2 linked regions of the Neodiprion lecontei genome follow. The protein of the gene in region 2 purifies or fractionates together with the protein of the main gene of each other region. This does not show direct contact. Links are inferred from orthologs where the notes say so. Each region holds a gene or a part of one and is shown on either strand. Other genes may lie near its edges.

What was found.
Region 1: the proteins of transcription initiation factor TFIID subunit 9 (region 2) and transcription initiation factor TFIID subunit 4 purify together in Drosophila melanogaster (affinity purification with western blotting; 4 studies listed by BioGRID, with this or other methods). This does not show direct contact. The link is inferred for Neodiprion lecontei from reciprocal best matches to the Drosophila melanogaster genes Taf9 and Taf4.

What each region holds. Positions count from the first base shown.
Region 1 is NC_060261.1:2,567,571-2,575,673, reverse strand, and holds the start of transcription initiation factor TFIID subunit 4, read left to right. Parts: upstream 1-3,237; 5' UTR 3,238-3,799; coding exon 3,800-4,804; intron 4,805-5,490; coding exon 5,491-5,766; intron 5,767-7,237; coding exon 7,238-7,354; intron 7,355-7,444; coding exon 7,445-7,780; intron 7,781-8,103. Other genes in the region: uncharacterized protein LOC107216688, read left to right, coding at 118-300, 1,592-1,765, 1,890-2,413. UniProt on the Drosophila melanogaster protein: TFIID is a multimeric protein complex that plays a central role in mediating promoter responses to various activators and repressors.
Region 2 is NC_060262.1:4,427,044-4,432,577, forward strand, and holds transcription initiation factor TFIID subunit 9, read left to right. Parts: upstream 1-1,526; 5' UTR 1,527-1,687; coding exon 1,688-1,826; intron 1,827-1,907; coding exon 1,908-2,357; intron 2,358-3,173; coding exon 3,174-3,322; 3' UTR 3,323-3,453; downstream 3,454-5,534. Other genes in the region: 26S proteasome non-ATPase regulatory subunit 1, read right to left, coding at 206-375, 500-617, 836-854; phospholipase A1 VesT1.02, read left to right, coding at 4,694-4,736, 4,877-5,051, 5,127-5,275. UniProt on the Drosophila melanogaster protein: TFIID is a multimeric protein complex that plays a central role in mediating promoter responses to various activators and repressors.

The sequences.
Region 1 (8,103 bases), on a different chromosome or scaffold from region 2:
AGTGAGTATTAACATTAGTGAGCAGTACTGCAGTTAGCAAACATGAACACCAATTACCAGTTGGTTTGTGCAAACGTGTAGGTAAATAAATTTCATTAATCAGAAATATTTTTTCAGTGACACAATGGCGCTCTTTGCTTTCAACGTGGCAGTCCATAGCTCTGATGTGCACTCTGATGTGCACTGTAGGATTCTGTCTTGTCACCACTTTTGTTAGTGCAGTCCTACTTTTGAGGGATACGGAACTACCGTCAATCCCAATTTTCTTCAGAGTTTCTGACTGGTTGACAGACGGCGATGGTAAGATACAAATTTTACAATCTAATCATCGCATCTTCTTTTATAATTCGATTTCCCAGATTGCTTGGGTTAGATGAAATTTGCACAATCACGGCTATTCTAATGAAATTCAAACTGTCTGAAAATAATTAATAGTCTCGTCTCATGCTATCTGTTCTGGATAAAATCTAAAACAGTATAATTGTCGCATTGTACAGTTTCGACACGTAACTCCTGATAACAATGCTGGACGATAGCTTCTTTCAACCAAAGTCTGACGAATATTTGTATTACGCGTTCATGCTACTTGGTATAGGATGTGGGAAAGTCCCACCTCATTATCGTATGTACCGCACGACGAAAAATATACAATTTCCTACTGAAATAATGTGAACTAGCTATGCTGTAACTTGTGCATTTTGACCTCACTTAGCTTACTTACGGTGGAAAATAATTTCGATGCACAACTTGAGGCTTCGCGCTTTTTTGATATTCTTTATAACAGCTATCGCATGCATTGTCCTCAATGCCAACATTGAATGGCCGCATTCTTACTTATAGTTTTCGGACTATTAGTCGCGTCCCGGTGTGAATTAAGTTTAACTTCAACATACGCAAGTGAACCGATACTTTTTTCATTTTTAACCCTCATTGTCAATGCTTACGGTTAAATATGATTGCTGTACGCGGTTTTGCGGGATTGTTACAACAGTGACACTCCAGCGTTATCACGAGTTTGTCGTTATATGGGAGGCAGGAAGGCTTCTAGGCAACTGCGATACTACAAATCAGCTCTGTGGTCCGATTATAATGATTTTCCGGCGAATCACAATCAATCGTGAACACGGAACCGTCCTAATTGAAGATCCGAAATATCTATGAACTGCAATTTTGTATTTTCCCAATTGCTGCTAGGATTGAAATAATTCTAACTCAGACGTACCAAAAGCCGTCTGATTTTCGAATGGATTCATCTCCATACCAAAACTTGAATCCCCCGTCTGTTAAACTCAGTCCTATTCATATGATTTAAGATCATTAAAAGATAGAGCTGATAAACTGGCACCTTAAAACAATACATTGTGAACATTTAGATATGAAGATTTTATTATCATTCTGCGGTCAGTGTCATATCTTATTTTGATGTTTGATTTAGAAATTCACTGTTTATCTATAGTGATTTAAGAAAGGTCGACGATTATAGTTCAAGGTCCGAAAGATTATTTTCTGTCGTAAGAAAAAAAAAAAAAAAAAATGGAAATTAATACGTCAAATTAAACTGTTCTTTAAAGAAAATTGAGTATCTTTTCAGTGACACAATGGTGGTCTTTCCTTTTATCGTGGCGATCCATAGCTCTGATGTGTGCTATGGGATCCTGCGTCGTCGCTGCGGTGGTTGTCAATATGGCATTATACTCGCAAGATTTAAATATGCCATCAATCTCCACTGTTACAAAAATTCCCGACTCATCGGTAGACATTAATGGTAACGAACAAAATTTTCGCATATTGAATGAAGTTATGAACATATCCCAACGTTATAAATGCCTCGTGAAATCATTTTACATTAATTAAAAATTCTGTTTTTAATGTTATTTCAATTTTCGTAGGCCTCCCGTTGGGCACGATGATTAGATTTGTTACACGAGATGAATGGGGCGCACAGCCACCAGTGGAACCCGCGGCAAGGTTGAAGCATCCAGTCCCCTACGTGATCATCAGCCATACTGCAACTGATTTTTGCCACACGCAATCGTCATGTGTGTATCGAGTCCGATTAGTACAATGTTATCACATAGAATCTCGAAATTGGTGCGACATTGCCTACAACTTTCTGATTGGCGGGGATGGTTACGTATACATTGGCCGTAACTGGGACTACGTTGGGGCTCATTCGTACGATTACAATGCCAGAAGTATCGGAATCTCTTTCATTGGGACGTATAATACCGTCACCCCATCGAAACATCAGCTGCACGCACTTCAACAACTTGTAGACCTCGGTGTCACGACTGGGAGGATTGCAAGAAATTATAAGCTTTTAGGTCATCGACAGGTTTCCAGAACTCTCAGCCCTGGTGACGCGCTATACAATGTTATAAAAACGTATCCACATTGGTCCCCCACACCCTGACATTCTTCGGATCGATGAGATTCCAATATGTGCAAGGGTAGCAGTATACTCATTTATTTTTCATTTCTTTGGTATGGTGAATTTTTACTGGGAACTCTCAATAGGTACTTCATTTTTATTTCGTCTTACATATCTTATTTATTTCATGCCAATTTTTTGGGTAATGTAAGTGTATACAGCATTTTGCTACTAGTACTTTTTTATCATGTATTACAAGTCGTGTTGCATATCAAATCTCATTTTCTCCTCAATGAGGGGTCTTTTTCAAAACGAAAGCCTTGTACAGTGTCCCACATTAATGCCACTACTAGTGTTTCGAGTAAATTTAAAATATCAAGTATACACAGAATTTTCATGAATTAGTATCGTTGATATGAAAATATTGTTGTTCCTTGACTGGAAATGATTTTTAATAAAGATATTGTTTTGTATAGTTGTTATTTGTAATAGTTTTCAATAGTGATTTGATACGTTTTAATTTATCGAAATATTTAATAAAATTTGTCGTATGTAGAAATCGGATGATTGTAACATAGATATTATAATATAAAATATCTCGAGAGCAAATCATTCAAACAAAGCTTGTTGTAATAGCTATAACAGTCCAAGTTTTGAGTTGGCGTTTCGAAATTGCAACATTCGAAAGTGCAGCTGTTTTACCGGGCATAATAAAGGTGGATTCGCATGGCCGTGGCTTTACGTCGCAGTAATAATAGAAACCCTCCTGTATCGATGGGACAGCAACTGCGGCGTTGAAATGACTTTGTGAACGCACAAAGCTAAATCATTTGTATAAACTTACGAGTGTCCAGTCTCGTGTGATGAGTTAGTTTATGGTCAATTGTATTTCTGTTTATCGAATCATCAACAAATACTTGTGTTGAATGTTATCTGGAAATAATAAGAGAAGAACTAAACGAAAGAAATTGAAAAAGAAAAAACGAGAACGAAATCGACTACGCGAATCTTAAACTAATCGGGACCAGAAATGAGTTTGAAATGACTTATTGGTTGACTATTTCCGAGCTGGCCATTTTGGCGGGTGACGTGTTTTGGTGTTCTACTCATTGACATGCAGCCATATCAAAAGAAGGTGTAAAGGAGGGAAAGGCATTAACGCAAGGCTAGTAGGCGTTCACTGCGTTACGTAACGCGTAAAATGAGTAGCGTCGAAATAGCCGGTATAAAGAAGTAGCGAGGAAAAAACAAGAAGTAAACAGTACGAGGATACTATGGGGAATAATATCGATTTGCGCGTGTACTGCCCGATGGTAAACAGAAGATATGATGTATTCAATTTCCAGCTGCGCTAGGGGCAATGCACGATGGGAATAATTTTCTGTAGGCGCATGCGCAGTTCAGTTTACAGTTGGAGCTTGAAAGAAAATGGCGTCAGCTAAGTTTCTGGAGGAAGCTCTTAGTACGGACGTCGATGAATCCGCAGTAAACGCGATCGTCGGTTCGCTCGAGACGCAGTTGGTCACATCAACGCCGCCGATCTCAACCCACCAAGTGAACTCCGGTTCGGTTAATCAAAACCGTCAGTTAAACAGTGGGATTTCAAACGGGGGTACCATCATCTCCGCGGGACTGAAACATGGGGTTGCTAACGGCGGTGCTACTTCGATGAACAACCTGATATCCCAGGACCCGAGCAAGTCAATCACGACCAGCACCCTGTTGCCGGTGAACGTCGTCACCTCGAACACGATAGCGCATACAACATCGCAACAGCATCCACAGTCAGGAATTCCCGCTGCTGCCTACATAAACCAAGTCACAACCAATCAACAAACGAACATTACTAATATAACCAAAACACACGATCACCAACAACAGCAGCAGCAGCAGCAACATCAGCAACAGCAGCAGCACCAGCAGTCTGTCAAACTGGTGTATCCCTCACAGGGACAGACCATATCCACCACAGGTGTGGTTAACGTTAACAACAGGCTGTCATTCCCCACCCAAACAGTTGGCCATTTACCCAACGGCAGTCTAGGGGTGACCACGCAGACTGTGCTTCAGACTACCTCCGGCCTTGCTCACAACATCGGCTCTATAACACAGGCCAACAGCCAGTCCTCGGCTAATGTCAACAAGCAGCAGGGGGGTGGCACTGCCTTGGTTATAAAGACTAGCGCCACACCTGGGGGAATGGTTTCCGTCCCAATGTCCGTTCCCGTTTCAGTGGCTGGGAATGCCACCAGCACCACCCTGCAAGGGAAGGCTGGCGTCACTTCTACCATAGTACCTAGCAATGTCCAAATTTTAAACGTAAACACAATGAGGCCCGGTACTCCTGTCGCTGGACAACAGCAGGGCAAGCAAGTTGCCTCGAGGGTCGTCATTGGACAACACATGGTCGGTGCCAGACCTGGTGCACCCGGGGTAAGATGCTTTTTTAACGACATTTTCATTCATCATTTTCGCATTCATTTGCTCTTGCCAATATTTCGGTATCAACTTTTCTGCAATCCCTCCAATAACCTTGCAGAATATCAAAAGTGACTGGTATTTTATGTATCTCGTGTTTTTCAAGACTTATTTGTCAATCACAGAACTGTCTTTTTATTTTCTATTTTACAATAACCTTGAAACAGTTTCGCCCATTCATTCTTGCTCAAGCGAGCAAACCAAGTGTCAGCGCCGATTTCTGCATGTTTACAGTGAATCATTTTTGATGTGCGCAATATCGTTATTATTTTCATTTTTTTTTAACAATTTCCATTTTATGATCTCAAACGCAGATTCAGTTTATCGGCTATTCAAAAAGAAAAAATCATTATAAGTTTGAATAACATGTTACAATTTTTGTTATCTAGGGTTTCAGCTATGCAGAATTGATTTTTTCATCCGATGACGATTTCAAACTATATTTTAAGTAAAATACATGTGCAAAAGTTGCAAACTACCGAATCTTCTCCTGTTATAATCTTCAAATTCAAGGTTCTCAGTTTGCGGAAACAAATGGCCAGTTTATTCCTAGCAGCGATCGATTGTTAACGCATTCACTGTCAATGAAACTACCAGATTTTGATGAAACCGATTTAACATTTGGGAATTTGGCATTTCAGATAACACTGCAGGCCCTCCAAGGTCTTCAACCTGGAACCCAGGGACATCTGCTTTTGAAAACTGAGAATGGGCAATACCAATTGCTGAGGGTAGGACCGGCGCCACCCACAGGTACCCCTGGGGGAGGGAATGTCACCCCGAACAGTATTGCCGGAAGCGCAGTGGTTGCTCCGACCGCAGGCACAACTTATCGCCTAACCTCTGTGCCGGCTGTAAGTAGGCTGAACACTCAGTTCACTGGCCCGCCACTCGCCACGTTAAGAAAACCCATTCAGGTGACGCACACTCATAACTCGTAAGAGTCTCTTGATGTAGTGGCGTTGTAGATTTGCACTGTTTTATTGACTTTAGTTGATTGGAATAGTGGTTTTTCCTTTCATTTTTTGTCCTTTTTTCTTAGAAGCGCAATATACCGTGCATATCTTTGTTGGAAAGTGTTACAAGTCCAAGTTGGATTTATATTTTACTGTAAATTCAATTGTCAATTTGTTACAAGAAATACGTGGAATGATTCTTGGTAACCGTTTTCTTTCCTCCGGCAATGTTTTATTCTCATCGACGTAATATTTGATATCATTTTTAACTAATTTTCGTTGGACATATGATTTGATTTAGAATTTACGATAGATGTCACTCGAATGTTTTTCTCTGTATCGCAAGGTATGCATCACACTGCATATATTGTATCACTTTATTATCATTTTGTACTATTCAGGATATTTTTTTGACAGAAGTTTTTAAATTGCAAATTTTGCCTTCCTACTATTGAAAAGAAGTTTTCTGAATTACTAAAAGTAAACTTATTAAATTCGTCAGTATCATCAGTTTCAATGATAAATAGAAATTCGTAACTTTAAAAATGTTTAGCTATTATATTCATGTCATACGGTATTATTTGAGGTGTTGAATACCACTGACCATTTGCAACCAGTCTTATTAATATTCTCGATTAAGCTACCATGTAATTTTTCGATGAGCCCGAACTACAATGTCGGTTGCATGTCTGTTAAGTAGAAATATCAAAGTGTTCTTACAATGCTTGATAAATATGTAATTGGTCAGTTTATGTGATGCTATTTGAGTAGGTACAATTCACTTTTTCATTTCAAATAGCCACGTTTGATTGCAAAAAATCAATCAAAGTTCATAATCTCAGTCCAAGTATTAATTTCTACTATTATTTACAAATTTAGTTCGTTTTTTGTCTTTTTTGTATTGTATACTATTCCCACAGCTTAAGTATGGAATGATATATCCATTAGCATAAATTCCACACGATTGTCCAACTGCTAAACGGCTATTTAGACATGAAAAAAATGTTGCTAGTGGTATAGAAGTGAATTTCATAGTGCTTGATGATTACGCGCCCTTCAGTTTTCTGTAATGGCAAATTCTGTCATGTTTGTATCACATTTTTATTATTATACGTGTAGTTTGATTGCCGAAATTATTTACTTATTCGTTGTATTTGTTCTGTGACATGAAATTGCGTGTGAGTAGTAGTGGTGCATTATTTTAACGGTAGTGGTTTGCGCAAATTACGTATTTATTTTTTATTTTTTTTTTTATTTTTCCCTCAAATTGCAACTGTAGTAAAAGAAAACGATATGAAAATCAACGCTTCCTTGATTGACAAAATTTCATCCAGTATAAAAAAAAATGTTTGAACGGATTTTCATATCGTTCCTCAATATTGCAAATATGAAAAGCAATGAGGTTAGTTACAAATGATTAATTTTCATCTAGACGGTAGCTGCAAGTGTTACAACTGTGACCACGACTCCTGGTACTGTAACTACTGTAGCAGCCGCAGCTCCAATACCTGCTGCAACTAAAGTTCCAACAGCACAAAGTCCTGCCCAGGTAAAAAACATGTTGACTTTTGTCTTTGTTTCATGTACAACCATCGCGAATTAATAATATAATAAAAATGGTGTAATTCTTCTTTTTCAGCGTCAAACCACAGATAATACCAAAGAAAAGTGCCGTAAATTCTTAGCAAATTTGTTAGAGTTGTCTAGTCGAGAACCTAAAGCAGTGGAACGAAATGTTCGGACGTTGATTCAAGAATTAATTGATACTAAAGTTGAACCGGAAGAATTTTGTGATAGACTTGAAAGATTGCTTAATGCCTCGCCTCAACCATGCCTCATCGGGTTCCTCAAGAAGAGCTTGCCGCTTCTCAGACAGTCCCTCGTCACCAAGGATCTTGTTATTGAAGGCATACGTCCCCCTCCTGCAAACGTTGTTTTCTCCATAGCAGACAGTACGTCGGTAGCTCAGGCACAGGTGGGTGTATTCAATATGGCAAACTGTTGTATTAAAATTTTCATATTAATATTGTCGATATCCGTCCATGTTTAAATTATAATCAGGGTTGTTACGTGACCTAGCAAATCGAGATGTTCTTTGGGGGGGGATTATTTGTCATGTTGGAAAAGTCGAGGAATTTCACGTAATTATAAACGCTCATTAAATATCTCGGAGGTATACTTATATTACAGTACAAATATTCATAAGCTATTAGATAAGTTGAATGCATTTCATTATTTAAATTAACGTTTCATTGTTACTGTCGTACTTAATTGTGTATACTACAAACTTCTTTCCCG
Region 2 (5,534 bases):
ACAGGTCAAAGACCTTGATTTAGAATTAATTTGAATAAACAAATTTTCGGGTGGACTTCTCGCATCTGTAATTCAAGTCCATAAAACGATAGTTTTCAATACAATTTTATGACTAGCATTAATAGTTAAAGTGAAATTCTCTATTGGCTAGACTAATTGATCCAGAACAAACCAGTAGCAGCAATTTGGACTAGTTTCAACTCACCGATCGTTGTGTCGACATACTCATTGCGAGCGTTAACGTCGAATAGCTCGCCAGCGCCAAGAGCATAAGTCAGAGAATCCTCGAAACTTCCAAGGTGGTAGTAAACCTTGCTGGCTACGAGCGCTGCCAGCTCATGCTGATTAAATCCCTTGTCTTCGTGCAATATTTCGCTGTAGATAAGTTAAACGACGCCTCATGATTATTATTATAGCAATTTTGCTTCTTAATCTTAAAAGACAACTCAAGTAACACACATACAGATTTGTACAAATAAATAAGTATTGTGACACGTACATTTTTTCAATCGCCTCGGATATCTCTGGCCAAAATTCGTCCACAATGAGATCTAGTTTTTTCAGAGCGAACACTTTCAGCTCAGGCATCGGCTCTTCCAGTAGGGAAATTATTCCCGCTGGAAAATAAATATGAACAATGAAAATCGAGTGTTGTCAACATATTTTTATCCATATATTATAGGTTAGGTATGACAAGGCTTGCAAATCATGTCATGACTGAAAACAGTGACTTGCACACGAGCGTAGCCGGCTTTCGAAAAACTTCAATGTCCTGTATTTTTGTCGACAATTGAAAATTTTCGTTGCCGGAATAACGAAAAACCGTTTTATTCACCTGCTGACGTGATGTTCATGTTGTTTTAGGTGAATCTTACGATTTAACGCAATTGTTCAGGAGACGAAAAACGTACAACGACTTGACGCGGATCAAGTCTACTGAACTATGCCGCAAATCCGTAATCATCCGCAATGGTAACAAGCGAGTGTCGAGGTATCGTATTTCAAAATATCGAACAGCTCTGGAATTTCCCGCAGTCTCAACATCAAAATCCACCTTTCCAAAAAGCAGCCAACCCGATATAAAACTCAATTTTTATGTATTTATACGTTATTTATGATTATAGAAAGGGTGACAGAGTCACTTGACCTAATTTAGTTTTCATTCCAGTCCATTGAACTATGCCGTTAATCCGTAATAGCGGTGAACAGCCGCAATCAAAACGGTAGAACGAACGAATATCGAGGTATTGAATTTTAAAATATGGAACTGGTCTCGAGTTTTTACGCAGTCTACCATCAAAATACACCTTTTCAAAAACAAGCCAACTTCATATCAAACTGAATGTTTTTGTATTTATATAGTATTTATGACCACAGAAAGGTTGAAAGGGTCGCTTGAGCTAATTTAGTTTTCATTTAAGTCCACTGAACTATGCCGTAATAGTGCTGAACAACAGTAATCAAAACGGGAAGACAAACGAATATCGAGGTATCGAATTTAAAAATATCGAACTACTATCGAGTTTTCCGCAGTTCCATCAAAATCCACCTTTCCAAAAACTAGCCTACTTCAGAGAAAACACAATGTTTTTGTATTAATGGTTCGACAGGGTCAGTTAACCTAATTTAGAAACAGCGACCAAGTTTGATATTTTATGAATTTAAAGTCGAAGGAAGAACACGAAATATGGCAGATAAACCGAAATCAATGAGCCAGATTAAACATGTACCGAAAGACGCGCAAGTTATAATGTCAATAATGAAAGACATGGGCATCACTGACTACGAGCCAAAGGTTATAAATCAACTCCTCGAATTCACTTATCGTGAGTATATCCTCTCTTGTATCGCGTTGTTTTCATCGTTTCATTAAAATGAATTACAATTTTACGTACAATTGTTCTCAGGTTACGTAACCTGTATACTGGACGACAGCAGGATATATGCTAACCATGCGAAGAAGAAGTTCATTGACTTAGACGATGTTAGACTCGCTGTAAAAATGCAGTTAGAACGTTCGTTCACCAATCCGCCTCCCAGAGATGTACTACTGGATGTAGCCAGAGCAAAGAACAATATTCCGTTGCCATTTGTTAAGCCAAACAATGGCCTGCGCCTTCCGCCCGATCGTTACTGCCTCAATGCCACAAACTATAAGCTGAAAAACGCTACCAAAAAGATCGTTGGTAAGCCGTTACACGCCATAGTTGGAAATAATTTTAGCGGAGGTCAACCCAGGATCAAGATCGAACCGAACAAAACTGGATTGTCCATCGTCAAGAGGCCTGGCACTCTCGCTACTGTTGCCCGAACCCAAGCTATAACAATTCCAAAACCTGTGTTCAAATTCACCACCGGTAAATATAAAGAGGTTTTCTTTTTTTGTAGAGGAAATTGGATTAGTAGATTATTTTCATTCCTATTCTATTCATACTAATAATTTAAATACTTATCATTTCGCAGATACTCGATAAATTTTCCATCCCCAATACCCCATCCTACTTGCCAATATTTCTGTTCTTTACCTTCCATATGAGAATTTATCTCAAGTTTCACATGCATATCAGTAGAGTTGATCGATCTATCTAGTCTCATTCGGAACTTCCTTCAATGATTGTAAAGACTTTCAGGAAAAATACTAGCAAATGATTCTTCAACAGTAAATGAATATAAAATTGTAGTGATTGAGCCTTTTACAAATGAAAAAGTATTACGGGGTTAAAGTTAGTAACGATATCTTAACGAAACATTGTACAAAAAAAATTTCACCATTTTCCAATTTTAAAATGACTGTAAAAGTTAAATTATCAAAATATCAGCATGTCTAGCTTATTATACGTTTTATTGAATTTCAGACAATTCGAGATTAGCGAAATAACGGTTTTCCTTAACATGCATAGTTTACAATAACGTCACTAACTTCAACGTGATAAAGTATTAATACAGTAATTGTTCTATGCATTGAAGTGTTGATAATTATCCACTGATTAATAAACTCTTGGAATGTGAAGCGAGTAAATCAAAATTTAGAGAACATATTTTTACTGGAAATTAAATTTATGAATTTAGAAGCATCTTCGGTCAATGAATTTAATCTTTGAAGATTGTTCAACTATATTGTATACATCATTATTATCTGCTGATACTAACATGCGATAAAAACATTTCGGCAGGTGCTGGAGCTGGAGCTCCAGGAGGAAAACCGGCTGTTGGAAAGCCAAAGATTCAAATTTCATCAAGTCAACCTGTGTCTGTAATAAAAATGGAAACTGATGATTCGTCGAAGAGAAAAAGAGAAGAAGAAGACTACGATATTGCCTGACTAACTAAAAAAAAAAAATGTACCCGCGTCATATGAATAATATTATTTTATAACAATGGTCTGTGCACCCCAAATCAACACTTCTGATTCCCTAATCGTTCTGATAATAAATACAGTATTTATCACAGTTACTCAATGTTATAGGCAATTTAGCTATTATTCACTCCCACTTACGTTCACAGTTTTCTTTCAATCAAATTATCCACCATTTAAAAAAATGAACCAACATTTACCTAAATCATTTTTAGTTTAATTTCTAGTCTGTCTTTGTCTGTTTGGTACGAATAGTCAGCATCTGGCCGAATATACAATTATCACCGTGCTAAAGTTTACAATGAATATTGATCATTATTCCTATCTTTAATTGTATTTACAAATGAAACTTGAGATACATCGATAAGAAACATCATACGATCGGAATCACGTTGGCAGTTAATGTAATGCTTTGTTTTCAACAAATGTAAAGTAGTTATCATTTGAAATCTGGAGTATGGGTCATGGGTGGTACCAGATAATCAATCAATCGTAAAACTCGTTGAAAAAAACCACCAGCTGTTTTTGAAAGGTGTTTTGCTTTTCTAAAAAGCTCTAAGATTGACCTATAGATTGATATTGTGTCCCAGAATACAAAGAAAGTTGACTTTGGAATGGAGTCGCTAGAAACCATTGTCTCCTAAAAATTTATAAAATTGATCTGCAACAGATTTCTGCATCTGCATACTGACATTGGTATTGCACCTGAAGAAGTATTACACATTCTTTCACAGTAATAGACTTGTAATTCTTAATACTTTTATTGTTTAATTAAAAGTCGTCAAACTGAACATGTTTGAGTTGATTAATTAAAGAAGTAGAAATCCCAGTTTAGCAATCAAGCCAACAAACAGGATGTAACAATATGCGAAAAAATTGTACGGATTAAAATTGATTGATGGATTTAACAGTGGCGAATGGCGTGATCAATTCAGCACTTTGGCTTTGTTAGATAATAAAATTACGACCACTACTGTATAAGGATAATATCTCAGTTAGTTGCAACGATATACACACTACAAAAACTAACTGAGTAGATTGACAAGTTTTATCAGTAGCCGAATATATACAGTATACTACTATAAATACTGTCATCCAGATAATAATCTTGTTTGTTTTAAATCAAAAATACCAAAATGGGCTAGATCAAATGTTTAGATTTTATCACATTTTAGATTAGATGAAAGAACGTTGTAATTGAGCCTTAATCAATAACCACAAGGGGATTGAAACTCAGATTTAAATCTGTTTTGATTATCAATCACGAATCGATAATTGCTGGCACTATAAGTACAGTATTCTGCGAATAACAGGGCAATTCAAGTTTTTGTTGCAAAAATGAAGCTACTGCTCATAGCTGTTCTTGCGATTACTGCCTCAGGTACGATACCATTCAATATTACTTGATTTTTCTCGATTATCGATTCACAGTGCCGTGAATTTATTTCATCATACCATTTCCAACAATTTCGAGGCACTTGGTTTACATCGAAAATTAATTATTTGATCAAAATAATGCAGTTTACGCTGGGGAGGTGATTGAACCTGAGCATGACTACATGTATTTCCCTGACGGAGACGGAGTTCCTCAACTGATCGACCTGCTGGAAAAGGGTGAAGATCTGACTGGTTTTGATTCGAGTGATTCCATCCTTTCTCGCAATGTCGAAACCATAACATTCAATCTTTTTACTCGGTGAGAATAGAGTTCTGTTGACTTTTAAGCGCCGTCTGACCAGCTCAAGCTAATTACAGTCTTCTCTTTGCACAGTAACAACCCCAGGAATTCTCAGCTCTTAGTTCTCAACTCCGTATCTAGCGTCAGTGGTAGTAACTGGAGCAGTTCTCGCCCGACTCGATTTATCACTCATGGATGGAGGTCGAACCAGAATTCAGACGCCTGCATTACCATCCGCGATGGTAAGAAACCGGTGCAAACTTATTATCAAAAATAAACTGTAGTTATATTAGAATCCAGAGTAGTTCTTGATACATTTCAATAAGAGATCTGTTGATTTACCCCTAAGAAAGGGCTGAACAAGGAATGAAATATTAACTTGGCGTTGTATCTTACAGCATCTAAGCGGATTTCGATCATCCCAGCTGAATGGAACATTTATCAGATGAATCCTCTGCTGTCCAAAAACGGGTGAAAAAAAAAAAATATTCCATTCAGCTG